2 linked regions of the Rattus norvegicus genome follow. The protein of the gene in region 2 interacts with the protein of the main gene of each other region in a pairwise test. Links are inferred from orthologs where the notes say so. Each region holds a gene or a part of one and is shown on either strand. Other genes may lie near its edges.

Region 1 (8,436 bases), on a different chromosome or scaffold from region 2:
TTCTGACCTACAACTCCCAGGTTCCTAGAGAAGACAGATCTGGCACAGCTGCCCAACACAAACTAGCTGAGATAGGCTGGCAGCACTAAGGAGCAAATGGTCACTGGAGTTAGAGCTGGAGAACACTCCAAGGATACCCAGGTCCTCGTCCAAGGACCTTGCGATTGCTGCTCTTTTGCCAGTTAAGGGAGGTCACGTGATATAAAGGGAAGTCTAATTTTCCAATATATCCCAAGGCTGAGCTGCCTGCCTCCTCCATTGCCTGAGGGCCCCTCCTCTGCCGAGCGGCCAGAGCAGGAAGCCTGTGCAGCCGGGTTGGAGGTGGGCTTTCTGGATGCCGATCCCAGCACCATCACCGGTTAGGTTCCTGGTCTGTCTGGGCTTGTCTTGCCCTTCTGTTCTGGCTCTGGTCACAACTTAGGCTCTCCCTCTTTCTACAGTCGGTCGTGACACTGGACGGAGGCAAACTGGTCCATGTGCAGAAGTGGGACGGGCAGGAGACTACGCTTACACGGGAACTAAGTGATGGGAAACTCATCCTGGTAAGATGGGCAACGACAGGAACCGTGCCTTCCTCAGGCCAGGGCCTTCCTGGGGTCGGGAGGAAGTAGGACGAGAGGCGGGGATGGGGTCATGGCTGTCACAGGTCTTGGTTCAAGCCTCAGCCTAAAAGCTATCTGACTCTGGACACGTAACCTTCTTTAACGGCCACTAGGATGCGTACAGTGACTGGAGCCTGGAGGCTACTGGAAGGCCAGTGTATTCATAGCCCAAAGCCCAGCCAAGCAGGAAGGATGCAGCAGCTGCCCACAAATGGTTCCTCCTGCTTGTGTTCCCGGGAGGAGGCAGAAAGCAGGGCCAATTGATCCCAGGAGGGGAGCAGCTGCCACTCTGTCTTCCTGAGTAGGAATGCAGGCATCTGCAGGAGCAAGTGTGTGCCTGACTGGCACTGCCGGGAGCACCCCCTCCTTATTCATGCTTTGTCTACTGTTCCTGGCTTCCTGAAAACATCTATTGTCTAGAGAGGAGGTGATACAACCAGGCCTGTAGATCTGCTTTGGGATAAGTTTGAGAGCATCCTTAGAATATAGTAGCCTTGGAGGACTGCACCTGGGCCAGGAGCATGGACCACAAAGTCAGTACCACAGCCCTTGGTGGCTCCGTGGAACCTGCTGATTGTGTATTCACACGAGACTGGGGTCCCCTCTGAGTCAGAAGTCAGGTGCCTAGTTCTGGAAGGGAGGAAACAAACAGGACCATTTCACCGGGTAATAGAGTAAGAGGAGGCCATGGCTGGTCTCTACTGAGCCTGAATACTGGATGGTCAGGGAGGAAGGGAAAGTTGGTAGCTTAGTTCCTCAAGGCTCTGGCTGCTCTTATCACCAGTTTGTCTGCCTTGCACCAGACACCCCCTTAGGCAGGTGCTGAACATAAAAGAGGAACAGGAATGTACTGGATCCTGACCAATTTACCTCTTTCAAGGGTCTATTTTCCCCCCAAATCTCTAAAATGGTAATTATAACATCTACCTTAAAAGATCTGCATCAGAAAAAAAGAAAAAAAAAAGAAAAAGGAAAGCGCCTGGCGCACAGGGGTCCCCAAGTGCAGCTCAGGATGAGGGTGGGGAGTGCTCCCTCTCCTGCTCTGCCCCATCTGACCCTGTCTTTCCTTGCAGACTCTCACCCATGGCAATGTGGTGAGCACTCGGACTTACGAGAAGGAGGCGTGACCTGGCTGCCCCGTCACTGACTGCTCCTCTGCCAATGGCTACCCCTAACTCAGCACCACGTTGCCTCATGTTTCTCCCCTCTGACGTTTTATATAAATACTCTTTGGTTGGGCTTTTCCTGGAGATATGGGACACCAGCCTGGACCCAGGTCCCATTGTGTATGTGGTTTATTTTTTAAAACTGTATCCAAAGGGTGCTCCAAGGTCAATAAAGCAGAGCCAAGGCCACCCAGTTGCCTCTGCCTTTGGTCTTCTTTCCTGTGTGTCAGTGCTGAAGTGAAGGCCTGCAGGTCACCTGGGAAGCAGGGCTGATAAGGAGCTGAGTGGACAGTCTCGGGCTCAGTGCGGAGACAGCAGCACCTATGCGAGCCTTTGCACTGACCCGCCCCTGCTCAGAGGAGCTGGCTGTCACTGAGTGGCTACTTCACATCCATCCTGCACACAACAGTCCTGGATTAGCTACGTGGTATGCTGTGGTCACCCTCTCTTTGGAGTACAAGTTCAGGACATCAAGGTCCACGCGTGGACCACTATGGTGGGAGGTGACTGCTAAGAGCCACACACTCATCATGCCCAGCAAGTCCTCAGGTTACAAACACTGGTTTCCTAGTCAGCCCAGGGGAAAGAGGTCTTCACTGTGGAAGAGAGGATTTATAAGTAATCTCAAGAAAGCTGTGACCTGCTAGTGGCCTTGGCTTTGTGCCTCTGCTTGGCCTCTTTCCAGGGTCTTGGATAACATATTAAGTGTTTTCTGTGAACTGATGTGTTAAGTCTCTAAGTCACCCAGGAAGGATTATAGGAATGAAGCCTTCTGCAAAGTTTAAAACCAAACACGTTTCCAGTTATGCCAGGAATTTAAGCAGAGGCCTGAAATGGAACCAGTCAGTCACACAGTGATAGAAGCAGAGCAATGACCTTGGCTACAGATCTCTGGTTCAGCGGTCACTGCAAACACTGTCCTCCTCACAGGCCCTGGCTGAGCGAATAGAGGCCGCAGAGTCCACCCACAACCACCCCAGACAGCAGGCAGGTCAGGGTGGCTCTTCCGCCACAGCCAGGCTCACCTCCACAGTAGCACCTGTGGCTCCAGCACAGACTCCTGCAACGGAATCCAGCTCTGGCAGTGGCAGCCGGGGTGGTACTAGACCCTTCTGCTGAATGAAGAAACTGAGCTCGTGAATGCGATGGGTGCAGGGGTCACTTGCAAAGGGATCAGGAGCAACAAGGAAAAACCATTTTGGGAGCTGCCCTCTGGCTCCCCAATCTGCTTGCTGCATGAGGAAAAGCCATCCGAGACCATGGGGACAGAGTCAGTGGGGTAGGAGGCCACATTCTCACTAGTAAGTCTTTGCAGGAGCCAAGGCTGCTGCGGCCTGCTCCACCATCATTCCTTGTGCTTCTTCTTGTGTTTCTTCTTCTTCTTTTTCTTCTTTGGAGCCTTGCTGTCTTTTGCTGTGTGCCTCGCCTTCTTGCCCGTGTCACTCTCAGAGTCAGGGCTATCACAGTCAGACGACTTCCTGTCTCTATGTTTCTTCTTCTTCTTTTCCTAAGAGGGAAATGTAAAGTTTCAACACTCGTGTGTCTGTCTCTCACATCGAAACCCCAGCGGTGACCACCAGGTAAACTACAGCTGTCTGTGGTGCTGCCTGCAATTCTAGCAGTGGGGAAGAGGGGACAGGGACGTGAGGATTTCAAGGTCAGGCAGAACTGCATAAGCCCTTGCAAAAAGAAACCAGGGTAGAGTGGTGCATGCCTGCAATCGCAGTGCTACAGAGGCAGATTTGGGGGAGTGTACATCGGGAGCTCCAGACCGGCCAGACTAAAATAAAAAGGCAGCAAAATCCCAAACGCGAGGGAGAACTAAGACACACAGCACTTGTAGACTTCTATCTTATTTGAACCACAGTGAAAGTGTGCTCATGTATACAACATAGACACGCCACTATGCACGCGAGCGTGTGTGTGTGTGTGTGCGCGCGCGAGCACACACACACACACACACACACACACACACACACACACACACCTGTGCAGGTAGTGCCCTTAGACTCCCCTGAGGCTAGAGTTAGTTGTACGTGGTTGTGAGACGCCCAATGTGGGTTCTGGGAACTGAACTTGAATAGCACTTCTCCAGCCCAGTGTTTTTTTTTTTTTTTCTTGTTGTTTTTTAAAAACAAGCAACTAGTCTTTTTCATTTGTTTTTGAGACAAGGTTTCTCTGTGTGGCCTTGGCTGTCCTAGAACTCACGCTATAGACCAGGCTGGCCTAGAATTCAGAGATCTGCCTGCCTCTGCTGGGATTAAAGGTATTTGTTTAAGTACTTGTTGGGCACGGTAGATCTCAGTGAGTTCTTGGCCAGCCTGATATACATAGTGAGTTCCAAGATAACAACAGCTGTGGAAAGAGACTCTGTCTCAAAACAAGTAAGTTTAGATCAGTCCTTTTAATGGTTAAAGTATCAGGAAAAACAAGTATTTTTGGGGGAGGAGTTTTTGAAGCAGGGTCTCATGTAGTTGAGTTGATCCTCCCGCCTAGCTTCCAGAATGCTGGAACTGCATGAGTGTACTACCAAGTCAGCCGTTTGCATTCTTTGGGAGAACGTGTACCCTAGGCTTTTCTCTCTACTGCAATTGTTATATTTATAAGTGAATGTGTGTGTATGTGTGTGTGTGCGCGCACACACACACACATACACACACACACACACACACACACACTCACACACTCTGCACTCCATAGCCCACAAGTGGCAGTTAGAGGACAGCTTTCAAGGGTTGGTTCTCTCCCACCAACTCAGGTCTCAGCTTGAGCAACACCACTGGCCCCTGCGCTATCCTTTTTAGTAAAAAACATCTTCATAAGCAAGTTTACTCTGCAGAGTATGCCATGGGAGGTCCAGAACCCTGGAGGGGTGAGGAGCTGCCACAGAGGATGGGGAACAGTCCTGATCCCCTGGTGGATGCCACTGCGATTCAAACGTGACCCTTCCCCTTAAAAGTAGCCTCCACTGACGTGCTAGCAATGGAAAAATAGCCTCTCTTCCCCCTAATTGGTAATAACTATCATGAGCTGCAAGTGGTTGGTATAAAGGAGCTTCGGAGGGAGCATGATCACGTGACTTTTCCTCACAAAGAAAGGGCAAGAGCTGTGAAAAGAAGCAGAATGTGCCAGAAAGTCTGCAGAGGTAAACAAACATTTCACATCTCTTTTTTCCCACAAGGGGGGAGAGTTCCTACAGTTAGACACCCTACACACAACCATGTCACCAGCGCTAACAGCACAAACCCAGAGTTGGTAGGTTGGTTCCCAGGCTCCTGTGGGGCAACCTGGGTAGTTCTTCACACTGAATAAGCTGCCTCCTTGAATTAAGTACCTACAGTGCCTCAGCAAAGCTCCTAAGAGGAGACTACAGGAGGAGGGCGGGAGAACAGAGCAGAGAAGCTCCTGCAGGCTTTTGTAGCCAGCATCCTGCAAGCCTGTTTGCTTGGGCCATCCACCCTGAGGTGATGGGAGGGAACAGCAAGCCAGGTGTCACGTAGACCCAGGTGTCACGCAGACCCAAGCCTGAGCTCTACTCTGCAGTCTTGGCCAGTCATCTCACCTCACTGAGGTCTAGCGCTTCAGACAGAGAACAGCTAAGAATAGCACCCACAGCACACGCTCTGATGACTCAATGAAACAGTATCCACGGCCTGGAGAAGTGAGAAGCGCTTGTCCCACATTACAGAGGTTGGACTCTGCATGCAGATGACGGGAGGATGTATCTCCCAGGAGCACTGTCCTCCTCACTCTGTACACCAGGTTGGCTCAAATTCAGAGACCCGCCTGCCTCTGCCTTTTGGGCTCTAGGATCAAAGGTATGTGCACCACCACCTGACTCAAACTAAGGTCTTGACAGCTTCTCTAGTGTCTCTCACCTCAGATCTTTCAGGTACAGTCCAATCTTGATGCGGTCGTTATCAGTTCCCTCCCCTGCCATTCATCCAATCTCTCACCTGACTGTCAGCTCTGCCTTCAAATCTACATTAGATCCTGTCTCGTCCTCTCTACCACAGTCATGACAGCACACTCCAGGCATCTTTGTCAACTGGCCTGAAGACAACTGGCCTTGCTTTCTGACCTGCACGTTTTCACATAGTAGCCAGAAAAATTATCTTTTTTAAAAAAGATTTATTTAATATATATGAGTACACTGTAGCTGTCTTCAGACACACCAGAAAAGGGCATCAGATCCCATTACAGATGGTTGTGAGCCACCATGTGGTTGCTAGGATTTGAACTCAGGACCTCTGCAGGAGCAATCAGTGCTCTTAACCACTGAGCCATCTCTCCAGCCCCCGAAAAATTATCTTAAAAGGGAAGACAGAAGCAGGTGGACCTCTGTGAATTCAAGGCCAAGCTGGTCTACACAGTAAGTTCTGGGTCAGCCATCACTACACAGTGAGACTATCAGGTCATGTCCTTGCACTGCTGAAAAGCTCTATTTAGAAAATGAATTTCCTACAACCAGCAGCCAGCCCTCTGTAGTGTCTAGGCCTCCTTGTCAGCCACTCACTCTGTACTACCTATACAGCCTCCACATTCTCCTGATGAGTGCCAAGCTCACTCCCAGCACCCAGCTACTTCAATGCTGCAGATAACATTCTGATCCAAATAATCCTCTCTTATTTTATTTTATTTTTTTGAGACAAGGCCTTGCTATGCAGCCCAGATAGGCCTTGACCTTGGAGTCCCCCAGCCACAGCCTCTCATGCTGGGACTACAGCATCGCACGTGGTTTCAGATGATAGTCTCTAAGAGTACCACCCTATCTACAATGGCAATAAAGGGCGGGCTGGGCTGTGGCCCAGTGGCAGAGCACGGGCCTACCATGCACAAGGTGCTGGGACCAGTGCCACATAGTAAACATCCCAGAGCTCTTTCTCCATGGCACTTGCCCTATCTGGTGTATTAAGGTCTCACTGTGTTTGCTTACATCTCTTCCATTAGACCACAATGCGACAACAGCAGGCCATTTCCTCATTGTGCCCCTCAGTGACTGGAACAGAAGCTCACTCGTGCATGAAGCTGAAGTACAGTGTGTGTGGAGAGAATGGCGGGAGATGACATCATACTGCAGAAGTGGATTAGTGTACCTGGGTGTACGCTCAGTATCTGGTAGATACAGACAGCAAGGCCAGGTGCTTACGGTCATCCTCCACTACACAGGGAGCTGGAGGCCAGACCACGTCCCAAAGTAGGAGTGGGTAGGGGAGGCAGGAGGATGGCTCGGCAGGATGAGCACTTACTGTACAAACCTGGTGACCCGAGTTCATCCCCAGAACCCACAGAAGAGGAAGGAGAGAGCCAACTCTACGACGTTGTCCTCTGACCTCTGACCCCTGACACAGGCTGTGGCACATGCATGCCGTCAAACACACCATAACACTGAAATAATTAACGTGTTTTTTTAAAAAGCTGAAGCACCGAGGCTTCTGAGCAGACTTTGCCGGCATCTCCTGTCTTACAGGCTTAGTATTAAATATGTTCTTCTACCTGAATACGGAAGGAAGACACTGAAGTGACTTGAGAAATGGGTGAGGTTCAGCAGCCTCCACGTGGACTTTCCAGCTGTAGTCCTGAGCCACTTGACTACACTTCACTTCCTGTCCTTTGAAGGTCATGAGAGCCAGTGGCCTCCTTGGATGTGTTTCCTTTATTGCCCTGCATACCTTAGCTGATTATCTCTCTCGCCTTAAGCAACTAACTGATTGAATGAAGTGATCTTACGCCCTCTGAGAAGCCGTCCACAAATGACTACCACCTACAGCCACTCCCGTTGCCACTCCTGTTGACAGTGTGGACCAAACGTTCTTCAGATAAACTGCTCCGTTCTTTCTGCACATGGCCCCAGAACCACGAGTCCTGGAGTAGTGTACAAGCCCACACATGGACTCCTCAAGTCCATTTCTTACTGGAAAGGTAGCCCATCCCCTAAGAGAACCCAAGGTTTGGAGGGGCTGTGACAGTGACACTCAGGTGAGGCAGGATAGCAAATTCCAGGCCAGTCTGGGATACCCAGTCTCCAAGAAGAGGAGAAAAAGGAAAGAGAAAAGGAGATTGAGAGGGTAAAAGGATAGGAGGACTGCTGGAACTTGGGAGACCTGAATCCTGATTTATATGATATATAGAAATAAATCAACACGCAACACCAAGAGATAAAGGCCTCTGGTTACAAAACAAAACCCGGGGCAGGCAAGCTCAATGGGTAAAGGTTCTTGCTTCACCCCTGACGACCTACTCAATAGAAGGAGAGAACAGTCTCCAAATTGTCCTTGGACCTCCACAAGAGCAAGGCGTGATGTCATTCCTCACCAACAAAATGAATAAATAATTCATTTAAAATAAACTGACCAAGCCATTTCTATAATCTCAGCACTCAGGAGGCAGAGGCAGATAGATCTCTGTCAGGCCAACCATGGTTAGAGTGAAACCTTGTCTCAAAAAACAAACAAACAAACAAAAAAACCACACAAACAAAAACCGGCTAGAAGTGATCTTAGTGTCTTGTTATATCAAGTGTCTAAGACTATCCTGACACATGCAAGGCAGGAGCAACATCATTTTCAAGTGCCTGAAATATCCCCTCTCCAGGCACAGCTACAAAGCCAGCAGCACTCAGGCGGCCAGCAGCAGGGTCACCAGTCCAAGGCTAGCCTGGGATACAC
Region 2 (7,640 bases):
CTATAGCACATCCGTTTAGCTCCGAGAGCACGCTCCAAGTGAAGGAGCACATGCAGTCTTTTGGTGTATATATGTAGAGGCTACATTTACAGTCTGGAGCCTTGAGGGTTCCAGGATACACCGCCACCACAAGTCTAGAATCATACTCAATGCTCAGAGTCCCTGCCACAGAGAGTCCCAGGCTCCAAGAGTTCCTGGGATCCAAGCCACAGGTGAGCAAGACTTCATGTTCTTTTTTTCAGGCCCAGGCCAGAGCCTCACCCATGATGCCCACTGTGATGCCCACTCTGCCAGCTTCGATGGCCTCTGCACCCCCACTCTCAGGTGAGTGAACCTGACCCCAGTGTTCATACAATGACAGCCTCAACACTATCACACACCCCTGCAATGCTGGACCTGTCACTCAGGCGTAGAAGGGAACTTTTGAGCTCCTGGTCCCAGGGCTGGGCAGGCCCACTTCTGGGTGTGTGAACTATGCTGACTCTGAGGCTATGGCCCAGTATTCTGACCACTTCTCAATGCCTGCTTCTCACCTGTCTCTTTAGTGGGGGCTCACATACAATTAACCTTCACCCTTTGAGAAAACCCTGGGGAAACTGACCTACTGAGGCAGAAATGGTCTGATCTGGTGCCGGCATGGATGGTCAGGCCATTTTGGGGAGACCAGATGTTTGAGATAGCCCATAAAGAAACTCAAAGCAATCGTGAGTCAGTTCTGTGAGAGAAGCTTAAATTAGGGCCTCTTGTTCCTCTTGTCAGAACTCTGCTGTCTCCTTGAGCTGCCCCTGTCATGGCCCTAGTGGTCTTTGCACCTGCTGTGGCTTTGTGTTAATTTTCCAATGGGTGTCAAAGCAGCTGAGGTGAGCACCTCAGCAGCATAGGGGGGTCTCAGTGTCTGAGGCTGCTCCTAGACAAAGGTGCTTCAAGTCTTCAGCAGAGCTGGCTCATGCCATTGGCAAGCATCCCTGGGACACATGACATAATCAGGCGATCAGGGTAATCTTTCCTAGTTTCACAGAAAAAGAGTGGCCCTGGGCCAGCCAAGGTGGCTCTGCATAAGCCCAAGTGATACCTTGTCTCTTCCTTCCCATCAGAGCTGTATCCAAACCTAGCAGAACTGGAAAGTTATATGGGACTGTCCCTCTCTAGCCAAGAAGTTCAGAAGAATCTGTCTCAGATTCCAGATGGTGACAATGTAGGTATTTGTCTTCTGCCTTATGTGGCCACTAAATTTCCTACCTTCTGGTCTTGCTATTTTAAAAGGTGTGTGTGTGTGTGTGTGTGTGTGTGTGTGTGTGTGTGTGTGTGTGTGTGTGTGTGTATGTCAACCCAGACATTCTTTCTACCATTAATTAGGACCCAGATGTACTTGTTCTAAATTATGATTGCTACTTTTTTTTTTAAAGACTGTGTCTCACTATGTAGCCTTGGCTAACCTGGAACTGGCTATGGAGACCCAAACGGCTTCAAAGTCATAGAAATCTGCCTGCTTCTGCCTTCCAAGTGCTGAAATTAAACACCCCCACCTTGGTGGCCTTTGAAAAAGATTTGTTTTATTTTTATGTATATGATTGCCTGTATGTATGTGTACTACATGTGTGATTGGTACCCAAGGAAGCCAGACGAGGATGTCAGATCGCTTGATCTAGAGTTACAGAAGGTTGTGAGCCACCATGTGGGTGCTGGGTCCTTTGCAAGAGCACCAGATGGTCTTCACTGCTAAGCAGCCTCTCTCCAGCCCTACACTTGGCAATTTTTATCACTGTAATTACTTTCCATGTTTAAAGTGTTTTTGTTTTTAAGTAGAGGGTCCTAGGAGGTTGCAAAGACAAACTGTCTATTTCATCAAGTGTAGCTTTCACATCCGCAGTACAGTAGCAAGACTAACAACTTACACTAGTAGAGTGTGTGTCTATAGCTCTGTCAGCTTACCCCTGTTCAAATGAAGACAGTCACTCACCCATCTAAAGACAGGACCGTCCCTCTTCAGAAAGCGCTCCTCCTATCCTATCCACCTTCGTGGTCACACCTACATCCTCCCTAGCCCCTGGCAACCTCTCTCTCTCTCTCTCTCTCTCTCTCTCTCCCTCTCTTTAAAGATTTTATTTATTATATATAAGTACACTGCAGCTGTCTTCAGACACATCAGAAGAGGGCATCAGATCTCATTACAGATGGTTGTGAGCCACCATGTGGTTGCTGGGATTTGAACTCAGGACCTCTGGAAGAGCAGTCAGTGCTCTCAACCGCTGAGCCATCTCTCCAGCCCAATTTCTCTTTTTTCATTCCTTCCTCTTCCTCTTCCCCCTCCCTCCCCCCCTTTGGCAGTACTCAGAAACTCACGGATGTTGGGCAACTGTTCTACCACTGTGCCACACTCCTAGCCTTGTTCTCCCAACTTTGTTTTTCTGTCTGAATAATTTTATCATTTCTGAATGTTATCTAAGCATACATCAGAAACGATGACTCTTAGGGGATGTCGTATGCTTGTGTTATGTCATGTATCTGTGGTATATGTGCATGTGGGTGTAGGCTAGGATGTTGTATACATGTTGTTGTATGTATGTGTTATGTTGTGGGTTATGTTGTGGGTCTGTGGTGGGTCTGTGTTATATGCGCATGTGGGTATAGACTAGGATGTTGTATACGTGTTGTTGTATGTATGTGTTATGTTGTGGGTTATGTTGTGGGTCTGTGGTGGGTCTGTGTTATATGTGCATGTGGGTGTAGATTAGGATGTTGTATATGTGTTGTTGTATACATGTGTTATGTTGTAGGTCTGTGTTATATGTCCATGTGGGTGTAGACTAGGGTCGATGTCTTGTTCTGTCTCTTCTCATCTTTATTTTTTGAGACAGGGTCTCTCGTTGGGCCTGAAGCTCATTGATTCATCCAGGCTGAGTACTGAATGGCAGGGATCTGCCTGTCTGTCTCCCCAGTTCCCCAGCTTTTTATGTGGGTTCTAAGACTCTGAATTCAGGTCCCCATGCACACATAATTGGCACTCCTTTTTTTTTTCTTACTCCTTTTTACAGTTTCTTAGTCTTATATACGAAGGCATTTATGACATAGCAGGCTGGAATACAGTCATCACACAATGTGGTAAATGAGTGTTCACAGGCAGCTGCTCTCAGGCTATCTTCTGGAGGGGCTGTCTGTGCATTCCCCTCCCCTGCCAGTGGTGCCAAATATACCCAGTGCCTTGACATCCTCCCCAGCACTTGGCATCATCACGAGTTATGACAGGTCTTCACCTGCATTCTCCTAATGGTTAGTGATATGGAATATCTGATTATGTCCCCACTGCATGAGACAAGGTCTGGCCAGGCTGTTCTTGAACTTCTGACCCTCCTGCTTCCAGCTCTCAAGTGCTGGGGCTCCGGGTGTGAACCACACCTGGTCTGTGTGGTGTTGGGGATTAAACCTTGTACACTCTCCAGGCCGAGCCAAATCACCAGCCCCATTTCATGCATTTTAATTGGACTTTTAAATGTTGGCTTTAGGGGTTATGTTTTATAATCTGGGGTCCTTGTCAGATACATGAGTTGTAAATACCACACCAAGTCTTAGGTTTAGCTCGTTATCTCCTTGACAGAGGAGGGGAAAACCTTTTAATTTTAATGAGGTCAAGGTTTTTTCCCCATACTTCTTTTGAGTTTGCTTTATAAAGAAAATTTCCCTAAGCCCTGAGTCCTAAAGATTTTCTCTTTTACATTGTGCTGAAATTACTACGGTTTTGTTTACATTTAACTTTATAATTGAATTTGAGTAGATTTTTGGGGAAAGTGTGCAGTTTATGTCGTGGTTCCTATTTTTGCCCCTGCCTGTCCGTTGCTGTAGTAGATCTTGTTGAGATAGTCCCCTACCCCCAACTGACCTCGACCTCTGCCACAGAGCACCCATGCTCCCCTCAGTAAGGATCTCTCTGGATTTCCCAGATAGCTGTTGACTGAGGTATCTAGAATCCGAAGCCTTGGATACTGTGACAAGAGACATCCTGGTGTGTTTGTGTGGTTTCTCACATTTTGTCTTTTGTCTGAGTAAATGTCATTACTCACATCCCTTTGTCTTTCTACCTAAAGCTAGGGGACCTTACCTGTATCCAAAACAGCCCGCAGAGCCTTCATAGAAACGTCCTTTGTGTCCGAGGCTTTGCTAGCTCTTCCTGTGTGCATAACCAGGAAACAATGTTTACTTAGGTCTGAAACGTTTCTGCATCCTAGATTTTTGTCACCTTCGGTATATAGTCTCTACATATGTCTCGTTAGATTCACACATATCTCATTTTTTTTTTCTGCCTTTTGGGGGGAGGTTGGTCAGGGTGTAGATAAATAGTTGAGTCCGTGGCTCAGGCTGACTTTTGACTCCTGAGTTTGAGTGAACCTCTTGCCTCAGCCTCATTGGTAGTTAAGACTACAGGTGTGGGGGTTGGGGATTTAGCTCAGTGGTAGAGCGCTTGCCTAGCAAGCGCAAGGCCCTGGGTTCGGTCCCCAGCTCTGGAAAAAAAAAAGAAAAAAAAAAAAAGAGAAGAAGACTACAGGTGTGAGGTCCCCATCCCAGCACAGTTGATTTTCGTATGCTGACAATGAATTCTAGACCTTGAGGAATGTTTGTATTTCACTTATAGTTAGGAGTTTTAGATTTCTGCAGACATTCTAGTGGACGATCATGGCGTCAACAGGAGCGATTGTATCTTTCCATCCTGTGTGATCTTTTCTGTTTTCTTGCCTCATTGCACTGGCCAGATTGTCCAGTCCAGTGTCTGGTGAGACTGGGCAGCTTTTGGATATCCATAGGAGGGGACTTTTGTTCATTTTAAGTTTTGAATCAGATTATTTTGTCCAAGACAAAGTCAAAACTAGCCCTGTCATCCACCTTTGACAGCTCACTATTTACTGTGAAAATGGCTTTTTTTTTAAAAGTGAAATCTAAGTGCGTCTTTTCTTGATATTAATTTCCCTTGGAAAATACAGTGACCCCTCCCTGAACCCAGCTTCCTCTCTCCCTCCTCTCATGTTTAGGGGTGTGGATTTTGATGCTCTCTACAAGTTTCATCGAGCTCCATTTTCTCTCAGCCTCTGCCAAGTGTGTAAGAGGGGAACTCAGGGAGTTTCAGTCCACTTTACTCATCCCTACCTAGAACTCAGTGACCCTCAAGGCATGGGCCCTAGTGCTTGGATGACCCCCACTCCCACTACTGTGCCTGCAGATGGTGATCACTAGCCCTGGACCTGGCCAGGTGACAGCGCCAGTATCTGGGAACGACCTAGGTGTCCTGCGTGCAGAGATCAAGCCTGGTGTGCGAGAGATCCACCTGTGCAAGGATGAGCGGGGCAAGACTGGACTGCGTCTGCAGGCTGTTGACAAGGTAAGCAATGTCTGGAGTGGAGTCCCTGCAGGAGACTGTGCTCCTCTGGTGCTAGATAGCCCTGTCACAGCCCCAGGAATACAAGTTCCCCTTTGGGACAGCCACCCAGCAGCCTGAGATGGCATTAGTATGTAGGGGCCTCCTCTTCCAGGACTCAGAGAGCCTCTGTTCACAGCAAAGAAGATTCTGAAAAGGCGTCTTAATATCTGAGGCCTCGAGATTGTGCCTTGTTGCTGCAGGGATCAGTCCCATACAAGACTCCTGCCACTCAAGAGTCCCCTATCCTCACCCCCTTTTCCTGTGCCCTAATTCCTGTGGGTCTGGCTTCCTGATGACTGTAGAGAAAAGCAGCCAGACATCTTTAGGGAGAATTGATCATGGTGCTGAAATTGTGATTCAGCTTACTCTGTGTGGTCTGCTGTGTTTCCTCTTCCAGGAAAATAGGGGTAACCTGTGTATCCCTTACAGATCTTGGGTTCCACTACACTATAAGCTCACAGGATATGGGGAAAGAAGATCATAGAGGAGGGTGGCTGACTCTGGGTCCTGCCTTCCAGGGGCTCTTTGTGCAGCTGGTCCAGGCCAACACCCCAGCATCCCTTGTGGGATTGCGCTTTGGGGACCAGATCCTGCAGATCGATGGCTGTGACTGTGCTGGGTGGAGCACACACAAAGCTCAGAAAGCATTGAAGAAGGCATCAGCAGAGAAGATCGTCATGGTTGTACGGGACAGGTCAGTGTCCAGTCCCCAGCATCCTCCCTGCCTGGCCCAGCCACACCTGAACACCCAGCTTACTGTCACTCTTTACCAGGCCGTTCCAGCGGACTGTCACCATGCACAAAGACAGCTCAGGTCAAGTTGGCTTCTTCATCAAAAAGGGGAAGATTGTCTCTGTGGTCAAGGGAAGCTCTGCAGCCCGCAATGGACTTCTAACGAACCACTACGTGTGTGAGGTGAACGGACAGAACGTCATTGGGCTAAAGGTAGGCGGTGGTGTACCTCTGTCAGGTGTACATTTCTGTCAGGAAATGTTGGCACCGTTGAGATGATGAGGGTGGGATAGCTCCTGTCTGCATAATCTGTGAAACCTGCCGGAGCCTCAACTTCCCCATCCTAAGCTTGATGCAGGCTTCAGTATGACTTCATGTGTGCAGCTCTGAGCAATGTTAATCAGAATGAGTAGATGCCTAGTAAGAATTTGTTCTGGCTGCTGGCCACAAAGACATCACCACTACCACCTCCTCCTCTTCTTCCTCTTCCTCCTCCTCCTCCTCCTCTTCCTCTTCATCCTCCTCCTCTTCCTCCTCTTCCTCCTCTTCATCCTCCTCTTCCTCCTCTTCATCCTCCTCTTCTTCCTCCTCCTCCTCTTCCTCCTCTTCCTCCTTCTCCTCTTCCTCTTCTTCCTCCTCTTCCTCCTCTTCCTCCTCCTCTTCCTCCTCCTCCTCTTCTTCCTCCTCTTCCTCCTCCTCTTCCTCCTCTTCATCCTCCTCTTCTTCCTCCTCTTCTTCCTCCTCTTCCTCCTCCTCCTCCTCCTCCTCTTCTTCCTCCTCTTCCTCCTCCTCCTTCCTCTTCCTCCTCTTCCTCCTCCTCTTCCTCCTCCTCCTCTTCTTCCTCCTCTTCCTCCTCCTCTTCCTCCTCCTCCTCTTCTTCCTCTTCATCCTCCTCTTCCTCCTCCTCCTCTTCTTCCTCTTCTTCCTCCTCTTCCTCCTTTTCCTCTTCCTCCTCTTCCTCCTCCTCCTCCTTGTGGCACTTCTCTGTGGATGCTGATCACAGTCAGTAATGGTGTCTCCTCTAAAATACTGACTTAGAAATCCATTTCCGACCTCGGCTTACTCTTCGGGGAGGGCAGATGAATTATATCTTTACGAAGCGAGAAGGTGCGCATGGCTTTAGGCACATGCTATAGATCTGGAAAGATGGGTGACTTCTGGGAACGGGCAGAGGTGAGGTGTGTGGTCTGAGCCATGGACAGATGAAAGCGACCCAGTCCTGACCTCGTGCTGCTCTACAGCGGCTGTGCTTCTCCACCTCGTGACCCCATAGTGGCCACAAGCCACTCCTATCGTGTGTCTGCTTCCTTGGGGGCAGTCTCCCCTCACCTTCTGTGGAGGCTTATTCTGGTGGCCTGTGCTGCTGTGCTCAGGAAACTCTTCTGCATCTGAGATCCCCCCCCCCCCCCGTGCCTCCTCTCTCATTTCTCTGCGATCAGCATACCAAGCAAAAGGCCACCACAGTCTGGGCTTGAAAATCCGAGTGTCGTAATGCCACTCG

What was found.
Region 1: the proteins of Sdcbp2 (region 2) and Zcchc17 interact in binary tests that used the Homo sapiens proteins (3 or more experiments, as listed by UniProt). The two-hybrid records come from large-scale screens. The link is inferred for Rattus norvegicus from reciprocal best matches to the Homo sapiens genes SDCBP2 and ZCCHC17.

The regions. Positions count from the first base shown.
Region 1 is NC_086023.1:147,940,910-147,949,345, forward strand, and holds the end of Zcchc17 (zinc finger CCHC domain-containing protein 17), read right to left. Parts: intron 3,276-8,436; coding exon 3,114-3,275; 3' UTR 1,880-3,113; downstream 1-1,879. Other genes in the region: Fabp3 (fatty acid-binding protein, heart), read left to right, coding at 441-611.
Region 2 is NC_086021.1:160,549,079-160,556,718, forward strand, and holds part of Sdcbp2 (syntenin-2), read left to right. Parts: intron 1-242; coding exon 243-324; intron 325-1,094; coding exon 1,095-1,195; intron 1,196-5,209; coding exon 5,210-5,368; intron 5,369-5,925; coding exon 5,926-6,101; intron 6,102-6,180; coding exon 6,181-6,352; intron 6,353-7,640.